2 linked regions of the Kluyveromyces lactis genome follow. The protein of the gene in region 1 purifies or fractionates together with the protein of each later gene. This does not show direct contact. Links are inferred from orthologs where the notes say so. Each region holds a gene or a part of one and is shown in the gene's direction. Other genes may lie near its edges.

The links.
Region 2: the proteins of FAR11 (region 1) and PPG1 purify together in Saccharomyces cerevisiae (affinity purification with western blotting; 3 studies listed by BioGRID, with this or other methods). This does not show direct contact. The link is inferred for Kluyveromyces lactis from reciprocal best matches to the Saccharomyces cerevisiae genes FAR11 and PPG1.

Annotation. Positions count from the first base shown.
Region 1 is NC_006042.1:2,261,743-2,266,047, reverse strand, and holds FAR11 (Far11p), read left to right. Parts: upstream 1-1,454; coding exon 1,455-4,238; downstream 4,239-4,305. Other genes in the region: TEP1 (putative phosphatidylinositol-3,4,5-trisphosphate 3-phosphatase), read left to right, coding at 1-329; LSM12 (Lsm12p), read right to left, coding at 489-1,046. UniProt on the Saccharomyces cerevisiae protein: Participates in the control of the reentry into the cell cycle following pheromone treatment.
Region 2 is NC_006039.1:742,344-745,186, reverse strand, and holds PPG1 (putative serine/threonine-protein kinase PPG1), read left to right. Parts: upstream 1-1,263; coding exon 1,264-2,298; downstream 2,299-2,843. Other genes in the region: mitogen-activated protein kinase kinase kinase SSK2, read right to left, coding at 1-633; ubiquitin-like protein HUB1, read right to left, coding at 2,433-2,657. UniProt on the Saccharomyces cerevisiae protein: Involved in glycogen accumulation.

The DNA of each region.
Region 1 (4,305 bases):
TAAGGTCGTTAACTTCAAAGCAAATAATAGTTCCAAATATCAACGTAACTTTCTCAGATATCCGTTTATCATTTGGAATCCGTTCAAAGACCTCGCAATTTATAAACAACGTCTCTCACCTAAGCTCTTTTTCAAGTTGCTGGTTAAATCTTTATTGGGAATCTGTGCTTCAGTCAAAGAACCTTGATAATGACTCCAACTACATTTTACCTAAGAATGAACGATTTGAGTTTTATATTCCATGGGAGGAACTTGATGGGTTTAAAGGAACCTCTGGGAAAGGTCTTAAATTATTCGATTCAATTTCTATCCGGTGGATGTTACTTTGAAATTCGGAGTGACGTTAATCGAAGGACAAGCTAGAGATTGCTCCTAGTGGGCATCATCTAAGGCGATGTGTATTCTATCCAGTTTTAATTCCGAACGAAATAAGTTAAATTTTAATCTGTAAATAAATAAACTATATATTTTTACATTGACATCCGGCATCATCCGCCTTTTCTTTCGTTCTCTAATTTATTCCATGCAGATTCAACAATCTTATCTATCAACTCTTTTGATTTGACATCAGTTCTGCCTTGCAATGGTTTAATGCTACCAAGCTGATACGGCGGATTTATTTCCAGCTCATCAAGAACGACAATGGATTTTCCCTTCCATACTATATCTGATATAGTCTTATGAATGAGATCAAATATAAATTGACCCTCATAGGAAACATTTTTTCCAATTGACATTTCCTTTTTAGCAGCTGTGTCTATTGTCTTAGCCAATGCATTTTTCACTCTATCGAGATCAACGTATGACGGTTTTACATGATCTTTCTTGAAACTAGACGGATTAGCCTTCTCTCCTACTAGTTCCAGATGCTTGATAAATGAGGTCTGAATGATCTCAAATGTGTATGCTTTATTTTTCTTGCCCACAATCAAAGTGATGGTGTCATTATTTGAGTTGAATGAATACACTTTTCCTTGCGTTACATGGTCTAAAACATCAGTAATTTTAACTTTGAGGCCAAGAATATTCTCCAGAGAAATGCTCATTTAGTTTGCAATCAAATATAAACTAGCGGCTTCGGCCAGAAAAGCTTGCTGGTCACTCTTCCACGATTGAACATCACGAGTCAAATTCGATTTGTTTCTTACAGATTTTCAGTTTTAATTTGTGTGTATCACATTTTTCAGGCATTTGAATAGTTACTCAAAATCCAAAAAAAAGTAGCATCGCATTCAATCAGACATGTTAGAATAAGAACGTTTGCAACTATACACTTAAACTTTTTAGAAAACGTTACTTTTGTGGTTCAAATACATTGCGAGGTATTGCCTGAACTACTCCCGTGGTTTTCTATTGATAGCGGCTTGAAGAGCTGTTTTCTTTTCAACATTGAATTAACGATTATTCAATTTGAGAGATAGAAAGGAATCCAATATTATTTGTGGATTGCGATAATGCCAGAGACACAGCGGTCAAGATCTCCGCTATTGAAGTCTTTGTCTTCTAAAGATTTGAGGAGCAAGACTCAGGCTAGACCGCCATTTGCAAAACAGCTCTCCAATGAACACCAGACTTTCCCTTCGGATACGTCTTTATTCCATGATCTGGATAGTTTACTTAGCAAGAAATTACATTTGGGTGATTCAAATGAATTGCAGCATGAAAACAACGGCACAGATAGACAATCTAATGAAGCGAACAATAGCAGTGAGATTATTGATACTCAGGATGATGCTAATGGGGAAGAAGATGATGAGGATTCAGAGTTTGCAAATGTCGATGAGATCGATGGACCAATCTCCCCCAGTTCTAGTTCTGGTAGCCTGAAAGATTATTTCCAAGGTTATGATTCATATACTAACGGACAAGCATCACCGAAGCAACTAAGGAAGGTTTCACCCGAATTGAATGACAAAGATAAAATAATTACATATGAGGATGTCAAAGTTGAAGAAGATAATAATTTACCAGTAGACGATGCATTAAAGAAGTTGTTACAAGAAAAAGCAGACGAGATTGAAAGAGGTGATCTTTCACATTCATTTACCAAGCCTACGTTAGATTGGCAGGCTTCCGATTTTAATTCATTATTTCACGAACTATCAGAATGGTTCATACAAAAGGACTATGGGAGCTTAAAGACTGCAAAGTTGAGCTTTGAAAAAAACTATGATAGTTCGAAATTTATCGAAGAGCGTAAATACGCTATTCAAGTTATTACAGAGCTTGGTAAAAAGCTAGAGGTAAATTCAGTGGATATCAATACCTTGCTTTGTCTGGCGTATATTTCTTTCGGAACTTTTCAGGAAACGAACAGTTATTTCCATCATTTAGACATTCTACGGAGGAATAATACTCTATTGATGATGATTTCAAAGGTACTCTTACCTTGCTTTAAGAAACATGCAGATTGTTGTAGGGTGAAGAACACTAATTTGCAACAATATAATACTCTTTTGTTCTACTCGGGTTCAATCACTTATTTTATGATCAATATAGCTATTGAGCAAAGAAGCATGCACACCAAAGCTGTAGAAGATTTTATTGATGTCGTACATTCATCTGGCTTGATGCTTTTCCTTACAAAATATATAGACCATTGGCGTTGGAAAAGTCGACTCTCAATGAGAATAAGAAATATCATTATTTTATTCCATAAAGTGCTTCTATTACAGTTTGGTGAAGAGAGCCATTATGACGCAGTGAAGAGATTTGTTCTTCAACATCACAAAATTGAAAAGAAAGACTCCTCTGCTTCGAATCTTTCAATATCTCCATTGGAATATGTTGCTTTTAGGGAAGATATCACCTCAAGATTTCCATCTTCTCAGCTTCCAGAACCGACATATCCTAGCATGCTTGACAACCCCAATTCTCTTTCACAATTTTTAGAGATTCCGAGACCCCGTTCGAGGAGCAGTTCTAACATGTCGTTGGGAGAGCCACAAGTGCATATGGCAACGCCTGCACCATCACAGCCGGCATCACCCACAAGCTCGCCCAACGGATTGAAAACGAGGAAGTCATTTCAAGCCAATTTATCATATCCAGCATTTTTTCCATCCTCTGGTGACTATGATACTGGTGTGGTAGACGAACTTAGTAATAAGCTGAGTATTGCGGTGCCTGAGACAGTGTTACCGTATAACATGCAAGAAGCAATCGAAATTTTGTCAAAATCTGTGCATATAAAACTATCTACTAAACAACTATGGCATGAAAGAGAATTATTTATGGTGCAAGAACGAGGATGGACAAACACTGAGGTACATGAGAAGGACCCATTCACGTATAGAGGTATACAGAATGAGGAACCTGAAACCATGAATCGCATCGAAGATTATTATGCTAATGCTTTACCCCATTTTTCATCTCTAGTATATGTTCTATTAGAAACTATTGAAACTTGTATGTCAAACAAAGTATACCTTGAAGAGGATTTTTCTGAAGAAGAAATTAATGAGCTTCAACCACAATTGGAACTTATAAGATCAAAGGAAATTGCAATGGAATCGAGTTCTGCCATACTTTTCCTCCTTTTAAAATGGTTTAAGGTTAGCCACTTTCTTAAATTTGAGTATCTTTGCTCGTTGATTTACGATTCAAAGTTCATTACGACAAGCGTAGGCATCCTTCAATCTTTTACTGATCAATATCAAAACAGAATTTACTCTAAACATTTACAACCTACCCATTCTTTTTGGAGTGAATGTTCTTTATACAATGTTCAATATAAAGAAACTCTTGAGATATCAACCGCAAATGAGAAAGCAAACAGATTAAATCTCCGAATGCTCAATTCCGAGGTGTATCTATTACGAGTGTTATCCAAAATAACTGGGAAAAAGACACAAAGGCTAAAAGACCTACCACTTAATGTTAGTAACATATTCAAGGCATTGTATTCTATCTTTAATCTGGACATATACCACCCCATATTAAAGATAATTCACGAATTGGCACCATTCAAGAATAAAAGATGGAGGGCAGATCATATGGAATTGATTTCTGGAGTGTTCTTACATGAGAAACTTCATTTAACAGATAACTGGATAACAGGGAAGGATATCACGGGCGAGATCAACGATTCCTATGGCCAAGAAATTGCTTTACGGGCCATGCTGCAATTCTACAATTTCTATCACTATAAAAGAACTATGGAACATTGCGGGTACGATGACAAATTCTCTAACTCTTTCTTTTCAAGGGAGGCTGAACTACTCTCTGCTCCTTATTAAAAAATATGGCATAATAATAAGTTAAACAAATGTATTATACATGTACTGTATTGATATATATATTATG
Region 2 (2,843 bases), on another chromosome or scaffold:
TACTGTTGTAGTGGAACCATTCTGTTGTGCTGGAAAATATTGGTCCGCTGATGTGGAAACTGACATTGAACTAGCTGTTTGAGAGTTCAACGAAGCGACATTAGGCGGTACGGGATAAACCGAGGTCGATGACGGAGAATCATTGGATTGGTTCAGCGCAAATAGTTTGGAGCTTGTGAGCGAATTAGACCTTGACCTTGTTGAAAGTGCACCGCTGAGTTTGGGCGATGTTATAGTTTTCAACTGAGCTGTAGTCGGAGTCTGCGTTCCAAAGGAACCAGACACACTTGGTTTCCTTGAAGATATTGCTGAGGAGCTTGAAGAAGAAGCAGGAAAGAGCTGCCCCTGTTGATGCTGTCCATTTGGCAGAGATGTCGGAAGCGTCTGTAGAACTGGCAGTTTTTTAGTACTCAGAGTAGAATCTGATGAAAACGTAGGCGAAGCTGCTGATAAATTTCCCTTTAAAGTTTCATTTGAAGTGTCACTTGAAATCGAAGCCAGCGAATTCAGATGTGAAGTACTTCTACATTTCGAATCAGTATTGGAATTCTTATTAGAAGCCATCTTAGTCGTATATCTTTGGAATTGCTCCCTGACATATGCCTCGTCTCTGCTATCGTTGTTTTGCGACATGGCTTTAAACGACGAACTGAGAGAGGCTCAATCTAAACCAAACGTGAAGGAAAACAGATAAAGCAAAAAACAGAGCGTTACTTTGTTGTACAGTACAAACGTAAAAGTGGCCCTTTAAAAAATCCACCAATTCTCTTTCTTCCTTAAGATTGTGTAATCTCTGAAAGACCGGGAAGAATGCCCTTATAGACAATGAATTGACAAGTAGCCCCGAAAATTACAAAGCAAATCCCCTTTATTTCGAGTTTGCCGCACACCAGTTGTGTTTCTTAGCAATTATAACCTATCTTTATAACGATCTCGTCGCTGTTCTAATCCGAATGGCTGGCACACTTTAGCTACTTTGCTCGGTACCTATGAACCTTTAATTTGGTTCTTGACATGATAATTTTTTTTTTTTTAATGTTATTGATTTTTACAAAGAAAAGTTGAAATCTTTCCAGCCGTAAAGTTTGCTAAACAAAGAATATGGGGTGAACGACTCATCGCTAGGTGGTAAGGTTTATCTGTTGGGCATCTTAAGGTATTCTAGCTAGCGTTGGGATCCATGCATTAAGGGAGGATAAAATATCCCATTAGTGAGCTGTCAAAAAATTTCAATCCGTACTGAGGATATTACATATCATATTTATGGAACTCGATTGGTGTTTGGAACAGCTATATGAGGGGAAACTACTTCCTGCTGAGACGATCAGGGCGTTGTGTTTCAAATTAAAGGAATTGCTAGTGAGAGAATCTAATGTTGTTCATATCAGTACGCCTGTGACTGTTGTTGGTGACATTCACGGTCAATTCCATGATCTTTTAGAGATATTCCATATTGGTGGACCTCTGCCGTCCACAAATTACGTGTTTTTGGGTGATTATGTCGACAGAGGGTTGTACAGTGTGGAGACAATTACTTTGCTGATAACGTTAAAGCTTAGATATCCAAGCCGTATTCATCTAATTCGTGGTAATCATGAATCACGTCAGATCACCCAGAGTTATGGTTTTTATACGGAATGTTTGAACAAATTTGGCGAGGGAAGTCAAGTATGGCAGTATTTCACGGATCTATTCGATTATTTGATTCTTGCATGTATCATTGATGATACAATTTTCTGCGTTCATGGTGGACTTTCACCCAATATTCAATCCATTGATCAAATACGGATTATCGATAGGATCAGAGAAATCCCACATGATGGCGCCATGGCAGATTTGGTCTGGTCAGACCCTGAAGACGACAGAAACGATATCACTTCTTCACAATTCAAAGTCTCACCGAGAGGTGCTGGTTACACTTTCGGTAAAGCTATAGTGGACAAATTTTTTAGCATCAATGGTGTCACAAAGATGCTCAGAGCTCATCAACTATGTAACGAGGGATATCAGGATTATTTTGGAGGGAAAGTCACCACTGTTTGGTCCGCTCCCAATTACTGTTATCGTTGTGGGAATAAAGCATCTATTTTAGAATTATACTCACCAACAGACTTTCACTTTAACGTGTTCGATGAAGCTCCAGAAAATAAACTACTTACAGATCCAATGCTTAATGATAAAACTTTACATTCCTTCTTCGAAGAAGATGACGATGCACACATGGGGCAATATGACGTATTCTCCGATGAGCACCAAGCAAAATATGCTCTGAAAAGACAAGTTGACTATTTTTTATGAAGCAAATGTAACTGTATGCTTATCTCTAACTCTTTTTTCCCTTTCGCTAATGGTATAGTCCCATCTCATATTCAAATATTGAGTATAATATACAAGCTAATTTTTATAGATAAATCATATATGTTTTTACAAACTTACACATAATACAACTCCAAATTAGTTCCGTCGTGAACTTCATAATCTTCTAAAGTTATGTGATCTTTCAATACGCTACCACCTTTTTGTAGCACAATCTTGGATGCTGACGCAGTCCCCAATTGTACACTCAATACCTTCTTAAAATCACCAACAGTATCTTCGCTTAAACATTTTACATTGACTTTTTTTCCAAGACGATCGTTTACTAGTACTTCAATCATATTAAATTTGTCTATTCAAACTCAATGGTATGAAACACGGAATAAACGTGTTTAAAGAGCTTCTGTTCTTCAATCATTTAGTGCTCAGCATGTTTATAATACATTCTTTTCTATATAATTTCGTAATAGTAGAAATAAAAAAGTAAGAACTCTCTGCTCATCGACACATTTATATTACTTCTGCCA